Macaca mulatta: one gene and its partners. The protein of the gene in region 1 purifies or fractionates together with the protein of each later gene. This does not show direct contact. Links are inferred from orthologs where the notes say so. Each region holds a gene or a part of one and is shown in the gene's direction. Other genes may lie near its edges.

Region 1 (7,671 bases):
TTTTTTTTGAGATAAGAGTCTCATTCTGCCGCCCAGGCTGGAGTGCAACGGCCTGATCATAGCTCGTTGTAACCTCAAACTCCTGGGCTCAAGCAATCCTCCTATCCTAGCCTCCCAAAACACTGGGATTACAGAAATGAGCCCCCTGCCCAGCTTTAAAGCCAGTCTTTCACTGGCCTCTGTTACCATGTAGACTTTTACTATTTTCCCCTCACTCACTGCTCAAGTCATATGGGTTCCTCGCCAGTCACTCTTTCCTCTTAGGGCCTTTGTACTTGTCCCCTGTCTGAAATGTTTCTCCCAGATAGTTACGAAGCTGGTTCTCATTTTCTTAGGCCTTTGTTTACGTATCACCTTAGCGAAGCTTACCCTGGCCACCTTTTTGAAAATGTTGATCCCCCTCTGCTTCCAGTGCCCTACTCTTTCTCCTCTGCCTTATTTTTCTCTGTAGTTCTCTTCAGCTGATAAGTAAGCATAATATTGTATATTGATTCTCTTCCTACCTGATAATATAAATTTGAGGGCAGAAAGTTTTTGTCCTTTTTATTCTCTACCGTTTCTAAGAGCCTAGTTATAAGAACTCAAATTTGTTAAACTAATTGGAAGGTTTTGAGCAGAGGATTGGTGGGCATAAAGCCCGGTTGGGGTGGGCTCAGGAGGAGAGCAGGTGGCTACACTTCTCTGAAAAGAGTTTAGCTCCAAGGGGGAGCAGGGAAGCAGGTCAGTAGTGGGATAGTGGTATGTGGGTGGAATGCATGGCAGCAGGTTTGTGTGCTGGTGGTGGTCTTCAGGAGGGAGAGAGAGAATTTGCTGAGGTAGGGAAGACATGGGACGGCTGCAGAAGTTGAGTCTTTGAGGAAACGAGAGGAAATGGGATGAGAGGAAATGGGATGCGCATGCCGCTTGGAGGACTGGCTGAAAGAGGCACTTGCCACTCTGATGGGTGAAGGAGAGCAGGGAGCGTGCGGACAACGTGGGTAGGTCCCCTGAAGTGAGCATCTGGCTTCTGCATTTTCACTGCATATTTTGTGTAACTCACTAAATTATTATAAGTTACTTTTCTGGGTTGTAATTTGTGTAAATGAATTATTTCCTTTGTAAAAGTTCTTGAGGCTGCAAATTGATTTTCTTTTTAATCTTAAAAATTAGTATTTGCCATTTTTTGCCACAGGCACCTAAACATCTTAGTGAATTAACCATTTTTAAAAAATGATCAGTCAAGCAATAACAAAACTAAAACCAACCTAACCACCCCAGGAGCTTGCTCATGGAATGAGCCACTGAGCTGGGAGAAGTTTGGTGGTCCTTTATCCTCTGTGAATGAGGTGATCTCTTTCCTTTGTGCTCCATTCGGCTCACTTCTTCCCTTTCACCAAGGACATTCTTTTGTTTCCCATCCCTGAGGAGGGTAGAGGTGCCTAATCTTTGGCATCCCACCCAATCTGGAATCCTTCAGCAGTTCCTCTTGCAATGTTCACATTAAGAAAGCATCTAAAAGCCACATGGCTGTTTGCCAGAGCTACTGTGTTGGGAATTCTGAAATCCTAGTTCCCTAGGAGAACGCGAGCTCTCCCCTCTGACAGCCTGTATCCATAGGGAGTGTCATGGAACTGTCCCATGGTACTGCGGGAGTCTCTGATGCCCTTTGTTTCAAAGCACCAACCTACTGTTTTGACCTATTTAGGCCTTTTAAAAATGAGGTATACATATTTAAAATTCTAATCTCATCACCACCCACAGGTAATTAATTATGTCAATTCTTTGTAAATGCAGATCCTCCTTTGTTTATCACTTCTTCCCAGTAATACCCTTTCTTAATGTTTTTCCATCCCCAAACATGAGTTACAACCCATTAATTGGATATGAAATCAGTCTGGTAGCTAATGACCAACAGATTTTAAAAAATGGAATAAAGCCATCCTGGCTAACAGAGAAACCTCGTCTCTACTAAAAATACAAAAAAATTAGATGGGCGTGGTGGTGGGCGCCTATAGTCTCAGCTACTCGGGAGGTGTAGGCAGGAGAATGGCTTGAACCTGGGAGGTGCAGCTTGCAGTGAGCCGAGATCATGCCACTGCACTCCAACCTGGGCAACAGAGCAAGACGCCGTCTCAAAAAAAAAAAAAAAAGGAAAAGGAATAAAATAGAAGATAGAGCACACATAGTAAGAATGGGTATATGGGTATTTTATGAAACCTGCTTTCATTTTTCTTTGTGTTTACATAAGTGTATTTCTGCTGTGAGTCATGTTCAGAAACATTTACAAACCTCCTTCTTATCAGACTTTACATTTTGTTGCATGTAGGAAGAAATTCATCCCCAGGTCCAAGGCTTACATAGTTTAAGAGATAGAGTACTATAGATCATTTTAGAGATCTGGCTTCGAGTCCCAGCATCTTAGCTGACTGCATATTGAAACCTGTCATGTAGGGTTTTTTTGGCGGGGAGGAGGTCTTAGTTCCCACACCCAAGAGATAAAGTGCACGCTATTTTTTATTCCAATGGAAAGTAAAAAGACTACTTAATGAAATACGGTTGTCCCTCCATATCCATGGGGGTTTGGTTCCAAGACCTTCTGAGAATACCAAAATCCAAGGTTGCTCACGGCCCTTAAATAAAATGGTGTCGGATTTGTCTATAACCAACGAACATCTTCCCATATACTTTAAATACTCTCTAGATTACTTATCATAGCTAATGCAATGTAAATGCTGTGTTAATAGTTGTTATTCTGTATTTTTTAAATTGTGGGTTTTTAATCGTTATTTTTATTGGTTTGTGGGGTTCTTTGGTCTGAGTATTTTCCATTTATGGTTGGTTAATCCACAGATACAGAACCCACAGATATAGGGGGCCAACTGTAATATAAATGAAAGCACTTGAAATTCTCAGAGGCAAGGAACGATTTTTTCACGGATGATCTTCAATATCTCTTTCTGCTTGTTTTGTCTGGAGAGCTTTTGCAGGAACAGGCATTTAGAAAGCCTTTGCCAGATTCCTCCCTTGTACCACTTCCTTACCTCGGGTAATTGAGTAGTGTCCTGTCTTGCTGACAGGGTGAATACCTTTGGATTTCTTGATCAATCAACTCATTGTTTGTCCACAGGTTCTGGCTTATTCTTAGACTCTGTATATTGGGAGAGAAACTGTTAACCTCCCCCAGAAATGTTTCTAATCATACCTATGTGATTTGTATATTTTCTCTATTTTTTGATCTCATTTGTACTTAGACAAAGAGGCAGCTGAACGTCTTTCAAAAACAGTAGATGAAGCATGTCTGTTACTAGCAGAATATAACGGGCGCCTGGCGGCAGAGCTGGAGGACCGTCGCCAGCTGGCTCGGATGTTGGTGGAGTATACCCAGAATCAGAAAGATGTTTTGTCCGAGAAGGAGAAAAAGCTAGAGGTGAGTCCATTAAAAGGCAGACCCAGACTGTCCACGTTTCCCTTCCTGTAGCCCACATTAGGAGGTTTTTATTATGCTTTAATTAACAACATTTTTATCATTTAAAAATTCATGATGTGAATTCTGAATATCCATCAGATACTGTAGTTATTTGAGCACAGTTAAAAATTGAAGTCATGTTCTTATATGTCCAGGACAGAACAAACTGGATTGTAGGAAACAAACAGTGAACTCTTAATCACAACCTTAGGATCTTAATACTGCTTTCGTTTGAACTCATGTTTAAAAAAATTATAAATTGAGGTATAAAAACAATAGCAAATCAGTGAAAACCAAAGAGTATGTTTGGTGGTAGTTGGGAAGTGCTGAAAAACGTTTCTTTTAAGGCATTTGGAAGGTTTTTTTTGTTTTTGTTTTGTTTTTTGTGTGTGTGTGGTTTTTTTTTTTTTTTTTTTTTTTTGAGATGGAGTCTCGCTGTCGCCCAGGCTGGAGTGCAGTGGTACGATCTTGGCTCACTGCCACCTCCACCTCCCGGGTTCATGCCATTCTCTTGCCTCAGCCTCCTGAGTAGCTGGGACTACAGGCATCCACCACCACGCCCGGATAATTTTTTGTATTTTTAGTAGAGACGGGATTTCACCATGTTAGCCAGGATGGTCTCGATCTCCTGACCTCGTGATCCGCCCGTCTCAGCCCAGAATGCTGGGATTACAGGCATGAGCCACCGCGCCTGGCCATTTGGAGGTTTATTTCTGACTTGTATCCATGCTGTGGCTGAGAAGTTGTCTGCCTCCAAGATCTATCTGTAGTCAGCTCTTAAATTTCACAGTAGTATTTATAAAGCACAGTTCTCAAACTGTAGAGGAAGAACTCATTTCTACCCTGGGTTGAGGACATTAGTCCGAGTGACCTTGGGGAGGGAGTTCAGAAACATTTCCTCCCCATACACTTGTTTGGTTTCGTAGTTAAGTGCATGGTGGTTTACCCTCAGTGCTTGGTCCCATGGGATAACACAGCCAGCAGTGTGAATGTTTGGGAACTTTTGCTGCCCCGGGCTGCTGCACTTCCTTTTCAGGAATGTCTGCTCTTCTTTTTTCAAGAGATATGGAAAAGAGTTGCAGCCAGTGGTTTTGTAAAGGAGGACACTTCTGAGTTAGAGAGCCGGTCATGTTGTATTTCAAGAAATACTTCTTAAATCCCTCTCAGAGTAGACAAGGGACAAGGAGAGCCATGTCACCTCCATGCTCAGGAAACATGCTCTGGCACAGAAGGAGGGAACATTGAGCTAGCTCTGAGGCTGAGATCATTGTATTTGCCTTTCAGCACGGTCATCTGACTTGAGGGGAAATGAGTGGCAGGCACTTTTTACCGTATCCTTACCTGCAGTGATTCTGGGAACCGTGTTGCATAGTGGTAGCAGGAACTTCACATTCGTAGCCTGCTTGAATGTGGAAGGTGCGAAAGGGCTGTCAACATCCTACGGCTTAGATTTAGACATCGGCACTGACCAGAGATCCTAAAGGGAGTTTCACAGGCAGTACCAGACGGTCATTTATCTGAAATGCTCATCTTTCACTGAGGAAGCATTTTCAGCACTGTGCCCCGGGACTAATAAGAGAGTGTAATTAATGATTCTGGTTGTAAGTCACCATGCCATCTGTTGAACTGCCCCTTGGCGACACATTAAGGGCTTTCTCTGATCTGTCAGACATTGATTATCATGAGCAGCTGTTGTTGGGTGGAACGTGGCAAGCAACCATAGAGGGCAGAGTCTTTGAGGAGATCGGGTTGGTAGAGCTGGTTAACTCTTTGTTCTGTTTTCCCTCCCCATAGTTGCACTTTCCTCTGTGTATTGTTGGGGAATCATTCTGGTTTTTGTAGAACTAGTGGTTTGCTGGACACCATGAGAGGGCATTAAGGTGGAGAAACAGATTAGAGCTTTGGATGCGTCCTGTAACTTTCTAGTCTACATTGCTCTGCCTGGTTCATTCAGTGGAATGGTGTTGGCATTCCGTTGCTGAAGAAGCGGAACAGGAAGGCCCCACCACTGGAACCAAAGTACAGAGTCTGAACTGAAGGTTCTTATCTCAAACCATGTCTCCCAGGCATATGAGCAGAACCATTTATTGTAAAAATAGAGCCGATTTGCTGCATTAAAGAAAGCAAATGACTAGATACAATATAAGGTTTTTTTCTGAGATGGAGTCTCACTCTGTCACTCAGGTTGGAGTGCAGTGACGTGATCTCAGCTCACTGCAACCTCCACCTCCCAGTCTCAACCAATCCCCCGTCTCAGCCTCCTGGGTAGCTGGGATTGTAGGCATGTACTACTACGCCCGGCTAATTTTTTTTATTTTTTTTTATTTTTAGCAGAGACAGGGATTCACCATATTGGCCAGGCTGGTCTCGAACTCCTGACCTCAAGTGATCAGCCCGCCTCACAATATAAGATTTGAGAGATGGTTTTAGTTCTTTTCTTTATCCACGTTTGCTAAAAATGTAGGCAGTCTGTTCTCCTGAACCTAAGATTTTTCTCACCCTGTAATAGACTGGTCCTGTCCCATCACATCCCTGTGGTGGTGGCCCAACTTGATAAATGTATGCCACTTGAAAGATGCATGAATACTGTGAATTCCTTCAAATTGTCCAAAAGTCTGTCTGTGTGATGGGGCAGTACATAAAGTATACCCACTTTTTTAGCATTCATTTTTGTAACACAGCCAGTCCATTTTAAAACTGCCAAATCAGAATGCTAATTAAATATTTTATTTTTTAATCTTTTCATTGCCTTCAGTGTATACATACATGAAATTCTCAGAACTCTTTGGAGAAGTGGTTATTTGCTTGGGAGTCTGTTTTCTTCCCAAAGCTCTAATATACTTAGGTTTCTTTGTGCTTTCCTTTTTAATTTTGTATCTTTATGTAATAAGCATCTTTTTCTCTTTCACTTGGGAATTTTACGTCAGTGGTTCCTACATGTCAGGATTGGGCGTATGATGATTCAGAGCCTAGGATGTAAAAGAGGGAATTACGACTCAAAGTAGGAGATTGTGTTTCTTCCCTCCAGGAAATCATATTCTGGCATAAACAGCACAGGTGAACATAAAGCCAAACCACTTGATTGTACATAATGTAGATTAAGGAGGCAGTTGGTGGTTCTGTTTGTGGTTTAAGGTAGGTCCAAACTTGCCGTCAAGCAATAAAACCTTTTTGTAAAAGGAAATAATAGTTGAAGAAGAGAAACGTGTTTATAAATGGGGAGCAGTTAGACTGGACCAGACGGTATCTGAAGAAGGACAAAGGCAGATGTGGAAAGGAAGTGCTGGAGACCACCAGGGGGAGATTAAGGTCTGTGCTCTTTAGGAAGCTATGTATTCATTCAGGGAGTCAGCAAAGTCTGTGCCAACCAGATGTTGGCAACAAAGATGGGCACGATGCACTTCTCCCCTCAAGGGGCTTATGCTCGAGTCAGGGGGAAACAGCAGCAAACAAGGGGTTAAGGTAGAATTCAAGAAAGATTGTCAGTAAGGAAAATATTCTCACTTGTGTCTACACTGAAATAGACCAAGAAAAAAATGAAGATGCTAATAATAATTTGATCAGATGCTTATTAAAAATGTGAGACTTATCAAATCATGGACAGTTTGTGAAACTATAATGCCTTCAGCAGGTCTCCCGAAGTTTGCTAGACTGTGTGCTCTTTGAGTGCTCTCGCAGTGCCAGGAACATATTTGTTCCTCAATAAATATTTGTTCTTTGACTGAAATCCATCACTTGATGTAACCTTTTTCTATAGAGAAAAGGGTTTTTTTTTAGTTTGCGTTAAAAGTGACTTAACAAATCGGATTTAATGATTGGTTGTAAAGAATATGTTAGTTCGGAAAGGTAACCATTTTTAGAAATTTCTGTGTGTTTTCTCCTTTGTGCTACTTTTCTTTTTTCCTTTAAGCAGAATTATGCTTTGTTTTGAGAGAATCATCTTTTTTTGTTTGTTTTTGACTTTTGCTTCTGGGTGTCATGATTGATTTGGCGTATGATGTGGGGCCTTAAAAACCAGGCAAGGGTAGAAGGAATGCTGCTGAAAATCTGTTGCTAATGTTTTTGTCATGAACATAAGAAAACCTGGAAATGGAAAAGAAGGCTTGTGGAAGGAAGCACAAATAGCAGCCCAAAGAGGAGGTTAGAGAATGTGGAGGGTATAGAAGAAAGCCCATTCAAAAAGGCAGAGGCCAAAGGTACCAGAAAAGCCTTCTAGCTTCACTTCC
Region 2 (7,671 bases), on another chromosome or scaffold:
AAAATATTATTATTCATTGACAATGCACCTGGTCACCCAAGAGCTCTGATGTATGAGGAGATTAATGTTATTTTCTTGCTTGCTAACACAACATTTATTCTGCCCATGGATAAACGAGTGATTTGACCTTTCAATTCTTGTTATTTAAGAAATACGGGGCTAGGCATGGTGGCTCATGCCTGTAATCCCAGCACTTTGGGAGGCCAGGACTAGTGGATCACTTAGGTCAAGAGTTCGAGACCAGCCTGGCCAACATGGTGAAATCCCGTCTCTACTAAAAATATAAAATCAGGCATGGTAGCACACACCTGTAATCCCAGCCACTCAGGAAGCTGAGGCAGGACAATTGCTTGAACCCAGGAGGCAGAGGTTGCAGTGAGCCGAGATGATACCATTGCACTCTAGCGTGGGCAACAAGAGCAAAACTCTGTCTCAAATAAAAAGAAAAAATACAGGCTGGGCATGGTGGCACACATCTGTAATCCCAGCACTTTGGGAGTCCGAGATGGGAAGATCTCTAGAGCTCAGGAGTTCGAGATCAGCCTGGGCAACATTGCAAGACCTAGTCTCTATTATTAAAAAAAGAAAGAAAGACATTATAAGGCTATGTCTTATAATGTTGCCACTAATAGTGATTCCTTTTATGGATCTGGGCAAAGGGAATTGAAAACCTTCTGGAAAGGATTCACCATTCTAGATGGCATGAAGAACATTTGTGATTCATGGGGAGAGATCAAAATATCAGTATTAGGCCTAGGCATGGTGGTTTACGCCTGTAATCCCAACACTTTGGAGGCCGAGGTGGGCAGATCGTGAGGTCAAGAGATCGAGACCATCCTGGCCAGCATGGTGAAACCTCGTCTCTACTAAAAATACAAATATTAGCCAGGTGTGGTGGTGCACGCCTGCAGTTCCAGCTACTCAGGAGGCTGAGGCAGGAGAATCCCTTGAACCCGGGGGCAGAGGTTGCAGTGAGCCGAAATCGCACCACTGCCCTCCAGCCTGGCCACAGAACGACACTCGCTCTGTCTCCAAAAAATATATATATATGTATATTATATATACATTTATAATGTACCTACATTATATATACATTTTATATATATAAAATATGTAAATAATATATATTTATAAAAACGTAAAACAGGAGTTTGGAAGAAGTTGATCCCATCACTCATGGATGTCTTTGAGGGGGTTCAAAACTTCAATGGAGGAAGTAACTAAAGGTGTGGTGGAAATAGCAAGAGAACTAGAATTGGAAATAGAACCCAAAGATGGGACTGAATTGCTATAATCTCATGAATAAAGCTTGAACAAATGAAGAGTTGCTTCTTATGGATGAGCAAAGAAAGTGGTTTTGCTGGGCACAGTAGCTCACGCCTGTAATCCTAGCACTTTGGGAGGCAGAGGCAGGTGGATTGCCTGAGCTCAGGAATTCAAGACCAGCCTGGGCAACATGGTGAAACCTCATCGCTACTAAATATACAAAAAATTAGCTGGGTATGGTGGTGGGTGCCTGTAGTCCCAGCTTCTCAGGAGGCTGAGGCAGGAGAATTGCTTGAACCCAGGAGGCAGAGGTTGCAGTGAGCTGAATTCGTGCCACTACACTCCAGCCTGGGCAGCAGAGTGAGACTCTGTCTCAAAGAAAAAAAAAAAGAGTTTCTTGAGATGGAATCTACTGATGAACATGCTGTGGACATTGTTCAAATGACAACAAAGGATTTTAGAATATTGCATTAATGGAGCAGCAGCAGAATTTGAGAGGACTGACTCCAGTTTTGAAAGAAACTTATGGGCAAAATGCTATCAAGCTATATTGCATGCTACAAAAAAAATCTTTGTGAAAGGAAGAGTCAATTTATGTAGCAAACCTCATTATCTTAAGAAATTGCCAGAGCCACCTCAGCCTTCAGCAGTCACTACCATGATCAGTCAGCAGCCATCAACATCAAGGCAAGACCCTCCACCAGCAAAAAGAATATGATTTGCTGGAGATTCAGATGATTGTTAAGGTTTTTTGAGCTACAAAGTATTTTTTTAACTAACATGTATATTATTTTTAACACATAATGCTATTACACACTTAATTGACGTATAGTGTAAATGTAACTTTTTAAAAATTTATTTGTTTGTTTTTTAGAGACAGAGTCTTACTCTGTCACCCAAGCTGGAGTGCAGTGGCTTGATCAGGGCTCACTGCAGACTCGAACCGCTGGTCTCAAGCAATCCTCCCACCTCAGCCCTCCAAGTGGCCAGGACTACAGGTGTACCCCACTACGTCTGGCTAGTTTTTGTATTTTTTTCCTGAGACAGGGTTTTGCCATGTTGCCCAGACTGGTCTCAAACTCCTGGACTCAATCTGCCAGCTTCAGCCTTCCAATGTGCTGGAACTGTAGGCATGAGCCACTGTGCCCAGCCTAAACCTTACAATTTTCTAGAGGTTTATTAACCAGAAAGAACAGACTCTACTGTCATTTCTTATATTTTTTTTTTGCTGAGATTCTTTCTCTCATTATAAAAAAAAAAAACCAGAAAAGTCGAGCCGCGCATCGTGGCTCACATCTGTAACCCCAGCACTTTGGGAGGCCGAGGCGGGCAGATCATGAGGTCGGGAGTTCGAGACCAGCCTAGCCAATACGGTGAAACCCCGTCTCAACTAAAAAAAAAAAAAATACAAAATTTAGCCGGGCATGGTGTCACGGGCCTGTAGTCCCAGCTACTTGGGAAGCTGAGGCGGAAGAATCACTTGAACTCGGGAGGCGGAGGTTGCAGTGAGCGGAGATTGCACCACTGCACTCCGGTCTGGGTGACAGAGCAAGACTCATCTCAAGAAAAAAAAAAAGTCATGTGTTGCTTAACATCAATATATTCTGAGGCCGGGTGCGGTGGCTCACGCCTATAATTCCAGCACTTCGGGAGGCCAAGGTGGGCAGATCACTTGAGGTCGGGAGTTCAAGACCAGCCTGGCCAACATGGTGAAACCCTGTCCCTACGGGAAAAAAAAAAAAAAAAAATTAGCTGGGCATGGTGGCAGGCACCTGTAATCCCAGCTACCCGGGAGGCGGAGGCAGGACAATCGCTTGAACCCAGGAGGCAGAAGTTGCAGTGAGCTGAGATCACACCATTGCACTCCAGCTTCAGTGACAGAGCAAGACTCAATCTCCAAAACAAAAAAAGAATATGTTCTGAGAAATGCGTCATTAGGGAATTTTATCCTGTGAACATCATGGAGTGTACTTACATAAACGTAGATGGTATAGCCTACTAAAAACCGAAGCTATATTGTGTAGCCTATTGCTCTTCGGCTGTAAACCTGCACTGCATGTCACTGTATTGAATACTATAGGCAATTGTAACACAATGGTAAGTACTTACATATCTAAACTTTTTTTTTTTTTAAAACGGAGTCTCGCTCTCTCTCCAGGCTGGAGTGCAGTGGCGCAGTCTCAGCTCACTGCAACCTTCGACTCCCTGGTTCAAGCAATTCTCCTGCCTCAGCATCCCGAGTAGCTGGGATTACAGACATGCACCACCATGCCCAGCTAATTTTTGTATTTTTAGTAGAGACGGCGTTTCACCATGTTGGCCAGGATGGTCTTGATCTCCTGACCTCTTGATCCGCCGGACTCGGCCTCCCAAAGTGCTGGGATTAACAGGCGTGAGCCACCGTGCCCGGTCATATCTAAACATTATAGAACACAGAAAATTGTGAAAAGTATAAAGAAAAATTCACTCACTTTCACCAAATGGAGATTTACAAAATAACAATTTCCTTTTTTTTTTTTTTTAAGATAACAATTTCAGTATTACTATCTTCCAGTCTTTTTCTTCTATAAATGTTAGCATTGTATTTGAAACCAGTCACACGCATAGTCAGGCATACCTTGGAGATATTGAGGTTTCACTTCCAATCCACCACAATAAAGCAAATATTGCAGTAAAGCATGTTACATGCAGGTGGATCACTTGAGCCCAGGAGGTTGAGGCTGCTGTGAGCCAAGATCACGCCACCATAGTTCAGCCTGGACAACTGAGTGAGACCCTGTCTCAAAAAAAAAAAGAAAATTATAAGGTTTAATACAATTTTCTCTGTTTCTTACCCATTCTTAGGCAAGAAAAGAAATTCTTTGTGAATACATGATGATATGGATTCATAGACTCTCATCCTTGAAAGAGGCCTTAAATTTGACATAGCTTTTTTTTTTTTTTTTTTTGAATCATATACTTCAATCTCCACATGGTTTGGTGGATTCACTTAGGGAGAGGTTAAATTCCTGTTTTGTCTTTTGACAGATCTATTAAATTATTAGAATGGTTTCTGTTCTTTGGCAGATCTGTTAGAATAAAATTTCTTTTCCCTATGGCTTCATACTTTTGTCCTTGTTTTGCTTCCTGAGATCACACCAGTTTGATTCCTCTTCCTGACAACGGTTATGCCCTTCCTGCATTGTTTTTTTTATATTTCTTTTACATTTCACAAAGCATAATTAAAATCTTAAATTATTAATTTTATTGGTAATTATTTATCATTCACTTCTACTTTAACTTTTTTTTTTTTTTTTTTTTTGAGACAGGGTCTTGCTTTGTGGCCCAGGCTGGGTTGCAGTGTTATGATCACCGGTCACTACAGCCTGGATCTCCTGGGCTCAAGCGATTCTCTTGCCTCAGGCTCCCATGTAGGAGATACTACAAATGTGTGCCACCACATGTGGCTAATTTTTTCATTTTTAGTAGAGATGAGGTCTCTCTCTGTATACCAGGCTGGTCTTAAACTTCCAAGCTCAAGTGGTTTTCCCAGCTCGGCCTTTCAAAGTTGGCCAGACTGGTCTCGAACTCCTGACCTTAGGCAGTCCATCCACCTCGGCCTCCCAAAGTGCTGGGGTGGCAGGCGTGAGCCACTGTGCCCGGCCAACATTTTTTTAAAGTTAGATAGCCAACTTGAACCAGAAGCTCATCTGTGATCCAGCCAGAATAAACCAATACCCTTTACTTCCCTAATTCTTATTGTGTATTCTCATAGTATTATGTAATAGTCTTTTAGAAAACATGTTACAGTATGTGATTGATTCAAGATTTTTTTTCTAAACCTTTAAAAAATGAAAAAATATAGCATTGCTAAACCTTGTCTTCTTATTCAGTACTACTATAATTGTGTTTTAGACCAGGTTTTTCAATCTCTTTTAGAATTCCCGTTGTGTCCACACATTCCCAGCCCTCTCAAGTTCATATCCATCAAAAAGCTCTCAGTATGTCATCTGTAGTTTCATCTATGTCATTTATAAAAGTGTTGAATGGTAATTTAAGATTCTTAAAATCTTTAAAGTTTAAGATTTCTTTAGTCCTGGATATTATAGAAAAAAAGTTTTGAAATAAACATCAGAAGAAATTTGGAAAATAATTTTATTGATAACTTTATTTTCAGATTTCTAGTTTGGAATAGAAGTCAAGGTTTTTATAGTCTGTATTACTTTTTCTTTGTTTTCAGGGATCCATCTGTCTCTAAGTCTGTAGAACGAATCTTTAAAATCTGGGAAGATAGAAATGTATACCCAGAAGAGATGATTGTGGCATTGAGAGAAGCTTTGAGTAAGTGTCTTTTTTCTCTCCTAAAAGAAAATTTTGAGTCAGTCTTTACAATTACATAATTTTATAGATATGGTCATGTTGTATAATAGTGAAAAATTAAGTTTTGAATCTAGCCCTATTTGTTTAAAATTAAATACTTTTGAGAAACCTAGATCTGTTTGAATTAAAATGTAAATAGAATTGGTTTTAGGGATGGGGTTGGATTTTGTTTTTTAGTGATAACAAAAGTCAAGCATATTAAGTGGTGATAGCCATCTGGTTATTTTCCTGCATTTGCATTGAGTGTTTCAAATGGTTCATTGTTTGTGTTAATAAATACTGCCCTGTGCCCTTACTGTTGGAGAATTTTTCACAGGGTGTCAATTCTCACTAAGCTGTTTGGTAGTAAGCATATATCGGCAGTCTTTAGACTGTCTTTTGATTTAGATTTACAGTAAGTTGTGTACTGTTTTGTTAAAAGGAATTTAATTCTTATGTATTATATGCTTGTAATTAAGTTATTGAGTAGAAGTTGGTGATAATCTGCTACCATGACCGTCATTTGACTAGAAATTTGCTTTAAAAATGGCATCTTCTAAGAAGCTGTTAAATTCTTCATTTTAAGTTGTTAATTGGTATTTTTAAGCCTCCTTCCCTATTTTTTTCAGAATTGGTAATTTCACTGATGATAAAAATCATGTTTATTTGACAGCTTCTTAGATCGGGTAGGAATTTCTATTTTTTCATAAAAATGAAAGAAAAGGAAAGAAAGAAACAACACACAGTCTCGGATTGCCTTTTTTCATGCTGCAACTTTGGCACTGAAGTGGACAGACAGAACAGCTTCCCATAATGCCAGATTGCAAAAACTGAAATGTTTTCCAGGTACCACTTTCAAAACTCAGAAGCAGCTGAAAGAAAATCTGAACAAACAACCGAATAAGCAGTGGAAGAAATCACAAAGTAAGGAACAAAATCTCAACTAATATAAAATTACCTCCTCTTTTTGGAGCAGAAGAAAATGTAGACCATTTGACATCGTACCTGGCATAAACCATGGGCAAGCCTGTTTTCCAGGCCTGGGAGGCTCCCAGTGACCTATGATAAACAAGCCATCATGGAGTTACTTCTTAAAAAAAAAAAGCAAACAAAAACTACACTTTAAAACAAAGGAAATGCAGAAAAGGGTTTAATTGAGTGAAGATTCAAGAGTAGTTGGGGGATTGAAAGAAGAAAAAAATACTTGATAGTGTCCAGGCTAATTTTCAGGTTCAAGGATATATGATGTTAGAGGCAGCTGGCATTAAACAACAGATCTGAAGAGGAGACTAGGCATTAAGAAGCATTTCTGTGGGAACCATGAAATCTCCAGATTTGGGGGATATACTCTACCAAATTAGACGTGGGCCTCAGATCCTGGCCAGAAGCTCATTCTGTAATGGGAGCTCCTGTTATATTTATCATATTTACCCAGCATGAGATCAAGGGAATGGAATACTGCATGTGATAGGCTGCTGTGGGCAAACTGAGGAATATTGAGAGAGACTTGAAGGTATGGAGGGAACAAAGTAAAAGAGAGTGAGAATTGGGAGGTAAAACAAGACACTTGGGATGGTTTTGCTCCAGCGAGCATATGATATCCATCATGATTAAGGGAGTCCTCAGACATCCTTTTGGTCATAAGTTGCATGCTTAGGAACAACAAGAGTCGTCATTTCAGCCAAAGTTCAACCACAGTGTTAATATACCTAGAAGTTTCCTTGCCTATTTTTGCTATGAATTGAGTCAGCAGAAAAAGAAATTCAAAGGATAAATATATAGGAATAGAGTTATTTGTCACTAATTTTCTTCAGCCAGTGCTCAGGATTAATTGGATGTCCTGTTCCTGAACACTCTTAATTTGAGGTATTTAGATCCTCTTACACCCACACTAGGAAAAAAAGGTACTTGATGTATCTCGGTGTCTCCAAATCAATAATTCTAGGACTTTATGACTTCAAGGGTCTGTTGGAGGTAAGTAGATTAGGTCTGTCTAAATAGCATATTTTTACATTGACCATGTTTAGGAGTGTTCAAATTTCCTAGTCCATTATTTATTTTAGGAAT
Region 3 (7,298 bases), on another chromosome or scaffold:
GGAGAGTTTGAAAAACTGAAAATAGATTCAGGCAGGATAGGCAGAAACTCTCCTTATCAGTTCCTTGCCATAAATTTGTTTCTGAAATTTCAGGAAAAGTAAAGTCTTTTTGAAAATAATTGCTATTTACTTGCAGCAAATGTAACATTCAACTCAAAAGGTACCTTCCTATACTGTATTTACAAGTATGTAACATCAAATACAAAGTTAAATTACTACTACCTTTCTTTGAAAAACAGAAAATCTCTAGTGAAAAGTGCCTAACACATGCTTCTTTTTTGTTAGACTTTAACTCTACCCCAGCATTCATTTTAACCGCAAAACATTTTATTTCTGCCGTATAGAAAATCAGGATTATACTGCATTAATGTGATCAAGTCATCTCTTGTGTACAGTGAGGTGTCTTTCTTCACTTCCAGGATGACATTTTAGGAAACTAGAACCATCATCTAGTCAATAAATACAACAAAGAATACATTAATCCCAGTTCTGTATTACGGTCATTTAGCTGGGAGTGGGAGAGAGGTAAGGGAATAGTGATGAGGGCTACCAAGAATTCAGGAAGTTGAAGAGACAGGGAGCCTTCTGTATAGTTAGAGGAGAACAGGAAAGACAGGGCTTTGAGGAGTCCTTATGCCATAGACAAGGATTTAGAGGGTTCCATGTGAGAAGTGGCTTGGAGGTTGGAAGGTGGGGTCATTTAGTGTCCTTGGGTCCTTTCTGCTCTTCCTTCTGCATACTCTTCTGGTTTCATGTATCACCTGGATGCTGGAGGCTGACCCCTGTCCACCTCTATCCCAGATCTTCCCAGAACTTTAGGTTTGCATAGCCAATTAACCATGAAACTTGACCACTTGGGTGTTCCTAGGCACCTCAGCTTAATCATGTACAAAGTGGAACTTCTGTTTCTTTCCAAGGTAATTTCCATATTTCCTAATAGGACCACTACGTTCTTTGTTTTCTTCCCCTAAGGTATCTTCCATTTTTCTCATCTCCGTATCTGCTAGCCATGAAGACCTACTTATTTCTTTGATCTTCATCTCTATAATTGTTCTTCATCTTCTGTCGAAGTGAAGACTCTCATCTCTCTCGGGCTATAATTGTGGCCTCTTCTACCTCTAGTCTTATTAACTACCAGTCAGTCTCCACTGCTGCCAGAGTGAAATTTGTAAGATGGAAATCTGAATTTGTTACGGAGAACTCTTCATTGCAGTCTGGGCCCAGCCTACTTCCCAGCCTTCTTTCTGGCTGTCTTTTCTGTGTAGCCAGAAAAGCTGAGTCTCTCTACCTTCTGTACTTTCTCTCACTCCCCTTGCTGGGATGCACTTCTCTCCTTATTTAAATGGTAAGCAGTTATTCCAAGACTCTTCAAAGCTTTTTAGAAGCTTTTCTTACAGCCTCCCTGTCTCCCACTAGAACTGGCCATTTCCTAATGTTCCAGTGTATCTTGTTGAGATATCTGCCATAGTACCTCTGGTATTATATTGCACTGAAACTTTACATGTTTCTTTCTTTCTACTGGGCAATAAGCCCTTTTGCAAATGTTCTTTGAATGATACATGAAAAAAAAAAAAAGCTCCAGATGAAATATAAGGTTTGAATAAGGAAGGAAAAGGCAAGAGCCTGTGTGCACACAAACACACCCCTGTTTGTTAGAGCAATAAATACTGGTAAACTGCTTACTATTACCTTTGGAGGAGAGTTAATTGCTGAGGTAAAGCTCATTTGTGTGAATGTTTTAAATGTGTCTACAAATAAAATAGTCTGATTATATAGCACAAGTTTTCTTTTCATCAGGTTACCTTTTCGACAAAATGATTCGTCTAGTCATTGTCAGAAGAGCGGGTCTCCTATTTCCTCAGAAGAGCGGCGGTGCAGGGATAAGCAGCATCTTGATGACATCACAGCAGCTCGGCTTCTACCGCTTCACCATATGCCTACGCAGCTGCTCTCCATAGAAGAATCTTTGGCACTTCAGAAACAACAGAAACAGAATTATGAGGTATTTAGAGTATTATTTTTTTTCTTGTCTGTTTGTTTGGTGCCTCTTACATAAGCCAGAATTTACTCCAGGTTCAAGGAGGAAGGAATGGAATAGAGGGGATTAGGTGCTTCCATGAGCTCAGACCTATGCCACTAGTTTTCAGAGACCTATGCCATTAGTTTTCAGAGTCATAAAGTTGCTAGAACTGCAGGAAATGGCTAGAGATGATCACAGCTACCTTCAACATGAAAGTGGTGATTTGCCAGGAAATGTGGGGAGACTATTGTAGAATTTCGTGTCTTGAAGCTCATGTACCTGCCTGTTCCTGTTAGGATAGTAGTAGCATCGCATCTCTCCCTTTCACCTTGTAAAACCCATGTGACAGCTTCTGAGTGGTGGACTGTAACCCAGACCCCTTGTTAGAGAATGAGGAAAATGTAGTTCCCAGGCTTCCATCTCCTGCAGTACAGGGGAGGGCATAGAAGGAGTGGGAGGATAATGTTGTATAGCCAGCAGACAGTGAGACACTGTTTCAGAGCATAATCCGCAGGCCTATGTGAAGAGAAAAAATCTGCTTTTGGCAACTTAATCAATTTTGCATAGCACTTTGTTTCCATGTGTTTTGCATTGAACTTTAAACTTATATGTTGAGAGTTTGTATACAGAGTAATGGGATGGGAGAAAATAAGTGTGAAGCACCACAGGGGAATAGAAAAGTTTAGAAGTATTTAGTAACAATTTTAGCCTCCAGGAGAACAGTATCCTGTCTCACTTCCTAGGTGTTGCTTAGCTAGATTTTAGTCAGGTACTAGTGTACCAGCCAGTATCACACCAGGCTGTTCAGGAGTTCGAGACCAGCCTGGGAAACATAGCTAGACTCCATCTTTACCAAAAAATTAGCCGGGCATTGTGGCATGCAGCTGTGGTCCCAGCTACCCGTGAGACTGAGGTGGGAGGATTGCTTGAGCCCAGGAGGTCGAGGCTGCAGTGAGCTGCAATCGCACCACTGCACTTTGTATAGTCTGGGTGACAGAGTGAGACCCTGTCTCAAAAAAAACCCAGCAAAACAGGCTGTTAATCTGCCTTGGCTTTTCATAAAAGCCTTGGCATGGATTGGCATTTTCAAGGTGCTCTTTTTCAAAAAACCCATATTTCTTTCTCTCAGTGCATTAAAATTACTGCCTAGTTATGACCGTAGCATTGAGGAAGTGTTTATTGTCTCTGGGCTCTTAAATGCCCATCCTAAGATATTTTTAGGTTGAATTAAACCCTTTATCTTTAAATTGGTTTTCTTGGCAGAGGTAATAGCTCCCACTTTTACTTACCCATATTCATGGCTTGAAGAGGAAGACATCAAGAAACTCAAGAAAGCATGAGAAAAGGGAAGAACAGAATTAGGAATGACATTGCCACCTACCATGAGTTGGTGGTGAAGTCCTTAGCAGTTTTTAAGTACTTTGCCAGTGTCTGAAATTTACTTGGACTTTTTATTAGATACTAGTTGCTGTAGGACTTTATTTGGAGAGGAATAGTCAGCTTTTTAGTATTAATTTCTTAATTTTCATTTTGCCATTGAAATGTAATTCCCAAGTCCAGAAGTCATGATTTTTATTAGGGAAGAAGGTTCTGTCAGTTGTAGAAATCTAGACAATATTAATCATTTTTGACATTTGATAGGTCACATTGTTATGTGAGCGTGTATACATGTACATGTGCCCACATATTTAATGCATCTGCATTTATAACTGTTGTTGTGCTAAGCTGATTACTCAGTTTCTTATATAGAGGAATGTATTTCAATGCAATGTTGTATATTAATGGAGGTCAGTAACTTCAACTGTAGCAGGCTGGTGGCTGTCAGAAGCATTACCCAGTTGTGTCTGATAGGGCACAGCCAACAGGCTTGTATTGCCCAAGGGAGCACTCGGTGAGGTGTCAGTACCCCTCATATCGCTGATTCTAGATAACTTCCCATTGAAAAATTGAAGAGATGTGAACGTGTAACTTTTTGCTTTGCTCTTTGTTTTAAAGGAGATGCAAGCAAAGCTCGCAGCGCAAAAATTAGCTGAAAGACTGAATATTAAAATGCGGAGTTATAATCCAGAAGGGGAGTCTTCAGGGAGATACCGAGAAGTAAGGGATGAAGATGACGATTGGTCCTCTGATGAATTCTGAAGATAATCTCCTAAATCACTGACGTTGAGGTGTCATCATCTTACATCAGACTTTCTAACTAGTATCAAGATCAGTGTCAGATATTGTTGAGGGAAGTAATTTTATAAAGTTACACAAAGGTAGTTATTAAAAAAAATCCCAGTTTGTCTTTCAGAAGATGACTTTCATGTGCTTGAAAAGTTTAATTTTTGAATATTGTGTTTAACCACATGGTATTAAAATTTTGCAATATATTGTGTATTGGTCTGATATTTTAGTATATAGTAGAACATACTTTTTTTCTTTAAGCCAAATGAAAAGAGAGAACTTTGCTTTTTTCCTTATTCTTAACTATCAAATAGCATTTATTACATGTCTTTCAGTGAAATACTTAGTTCCAGGCACCCAAAATCAATTAGGAAGACATAGTTCCCTTCTCTTTTGGGTAATGAAGGGAGCAGTCTAAAGAATTGTATGCATGTTTGCATGGGGTTATTGAGACATTGGATGTGAAATACTTAGGAAGACATGCATGGAGAATGCTTAACAAATGCTCTTCTCCTTTTTCTGTCTTCCCTTAGGAAGAATGTTCTCTCTCTTCTGATTAGGAAGGAATTCCCTTTTGAGTAGATGCTGGAAGGTGGAAGTTTTTTTTTTTGTTTGTTTGTTTGGTTTGGGTTTTTTTTTTTTTTTTAGAGTCTTGCTCTGTCGCCCAGGCTGGAGTGCAATGGGGCACTATCTTGGCTCACTGCAACCTAGGTGGAGGTCTTTTTAAATAACCTCATGTTACTTCAGGCAAATCTGGTACAGGAAAAGTCCAGGCTAACTGAGCTAGGTGAAGGCTTGTGCATCACCTGGCTTGAGTTCCTTGCTGTCACAGATGATAGGTTCATGTACAGAACATTAATGTTTGGTAAGGAAAGCATTTTTTTTGTTATTGTTGTTACAATTGTCAGTACTTTACTTTTTTCCCCCCAAAGAGGCAGATATAGACTGCAGAAACTTCAGTCTCATATATAAATGTTCATGTCATTTTAGAGGATTATATGGTTGTCTCCAGAGAAATTAACTTACATTATCAAAAAATTCTTTGTCTAATGTATTGGAGTCTTTAAAAGTGTTGAAGAATAAAATATTAATTAGAACAACTTCAAATGCTAATGGTGATGTTTTACTGGGACTTAATTAAATACTTTTACTTTTGAAAAAGACTGTTCACATTTGCTTCCAGGTGTAGTTATTGCTTTCAGTCCTCACCCACCTCAAGCAAATGTGAAAAGTATACTGACCTAAGAGTCTCATTAGTTTTAGTTCTTAAAACTAATAGTAAATGATTTTGCAGCATAAAATTTGATGTTACTTGTGGAAAGCTGGATGATATGGAAGAGTTCATGTGCCTGGACACACAGTTCCCTGTAATCCTGCCACCTAGGGAGATAACCTCTGTTAACATTTTGATGTTGTGGTTTTACTTATTTTTCTAATCATAGTTATACATTTATTTTCTCAAAAATGCAATCATAATGTACATTGCTTTGTGGTCTGCTCTATGTATTGTCAACATTTTCCCATATTAAGTATCTTGCTTTTTAGATAGCTGTAGGATATTTTATTTCATGGATATACCATAACTTTAAGACTGATTCCCTATTCAGCAATTTGATTATTTATTATAATGTAATCTGTAAATAGTGATGTGATTAACATCTTAAAATAATCACATCTATACAAAATGACTTATTTCCAGAAGAGACCGCTCTAGAAATGAAATTGTTAGGTGAAAGTGTTTTCGAGAATCTTTATATATCACTCACTGCAGAGATCATGTTCATTTACATTCCTATTAGCAATATATCCAACGCTCAGAATTGAAAATTACTACTTAAAATCTTTGGAAATTGAATAATTACAGAAAAGGGCTACATTTAAAATTTGTATTTTTTTTATTACTTAGTGAAGGTTGTGTTTTTTTTCCACGTTCATTGGCTATTCTGTATTCATTCTTTTGAGAATTGCTCATTCATATTTTTTCTGTTACCTGGTGAATTTGCTCTTTTCTTGGCTTGTAAGTTCTTAAGAATGTGCGTCCTTTGTCATATATTGTAACTTTTTTTTAGCCTTGTCATTTAACATAGTTTGTGATATTTTAGTGTAGAAGTTGTTTTCTTTAGGAGTCTACCTTTGTATATGTGCTTGAAACTATTTTTGTAATCCAAGAATGGATAAATGTCCTTTTCTTCTTCTAGTATTTTCTTATTTCACTTCTACACCTGTCTTTAAAAGGAATTTAAATTTTGTTTATATACATTAACTAAATCAGTACAAGTTTGGGGTGAAAAGGAAATTTTTAATCCATCTCAAATGTATTTGGGTATATTATATAAGGTAGGGATTTGATTTTATTTCAAAGAGTTTACCAATTGGTTCAGTATCTGAAACCACCATTTCCCCTCTGATTCGTAATGCTATTTTTATAGAATATTAAATTCTTATGTCTTTTGTATCTTAGGCCAATTTCTGGGCCTTCTGGGTTTTTTCCACACTGTCAATAATTATCGCTTTAATTGGTGTTAATATTTGGAAGTACAGGTTCTCCCTTGTTCTTTTAAATTTTGTGAAATATAACCTACAAATAAGTACTTAAAACAGAGTTTAATGGGTAAAGCAACAGCTGTGTAATCACAAACCAGATGCAGAGGAGGTCCTGCCAGCACTCCAAAATCTCCTTTTGTCCCCTCTTGACACTCACTCTTTCCCCCAGAGGTAACTATTCTGACTTAAATTCTCCCTTTGTCCTTTTAAGAATTATTTTACCAGTTATGTGTGTAACAATATGGTTTACGTTTTGCTCACTTTTGACTTACATAAAAATAGAATATTGTATGTTGTGTTTGGTGTCTTTCAACATTGCATGTAAGATTCATGTCACATGGTGTGTTTCATTCATTTTCATTGCTGTGTAATGTGCCATTTCATTAGTACCACTATTATTCCACTTTGATGAGTACTTTGAGATTTTCAGTTTTTGTCTATTATAAGTAATGCTTCAGTGAGCATCTTTGTGCACGTAAACATGTTTCCATAGAATGTGTACCTAGGAGTGGAATTGCTCAGTTATAAGGTATGCATACCTTTAAAATTTTATATTCCCTCCTCTGCT

What was found. The genes of interacting proteins can lie anywhere in the genome.
Region 2: the proteins of RPRD1B (region 1) and RPRD2 purify together in Homo sapiens (affinity purification with mass spectrometry; 4 studies listed by BioGRID and IntAct, counting the BioPlex papers as one, with this or other methods). This does not show direct contact. The link is inferred for Macaca mulatta from reciprocal best matches to the Homo sapiens genes RPRD1B and RPRD2.
Region 3: the proteins of RPRD1B (region 1) and POLR2M purify together in Homo sapiens (affinity purification with mass spectrometry; 3 studies listed by BioGRID and IntAct, counting the BioPlex papers as one, with this or other methods). This does not show direct contact. The link is inferred for Macaca mulatta from reciprocal best matches to the Homo sapiens genes RPRD1B and POLR2M.

Annotation. Positions count from the first base shown.
Region 1 is NC_133415.1:90,928,181-90,935,851, forward strand, and holds part of RPRD1B (regulation of nuclear pre-mRNA domain-containing protein 1B), read left to right. Parts: intron 1-3,230; coding exon 3,231-3,406; intron 3,407-7,671. UniProt on the Homo sapiens protein: Interacts with phosphorylated C-terminal heptapeptide repeat domain (CTD) of the largest RNA polymerase II subunit POLR2A, and participates in dephosphorylation of the CTD by RPAP2. Transcriptional regulator which enhances expression of CCND1.
Region 2 is NC_133406.1:116,686,774-116,694,444, reverse strand, and holds part of RPRD2 (regulation of nuclear pre-mRNA domain-containing protein 2), read left to right. Parts: intron 1-5,485; coding exon 5,486-5,586; intron 5,587-6,277; exon of another isoform or gene 6,278-6,450; coding exon 6,451-6,528; intron 6,529-7,671.
Region 3 is NC_133412.1:35,014,598-35,021,895, forward strand, and holds the end of POLR2M (protein GRINL1A), read left to right. Parts: intron 1-1,797; coding exon 1,798-2,002; intron 2,003-4,015; coding exon 4,016-4,159; 3' UTR 4,160-5,293; downstream 5,294-7,298.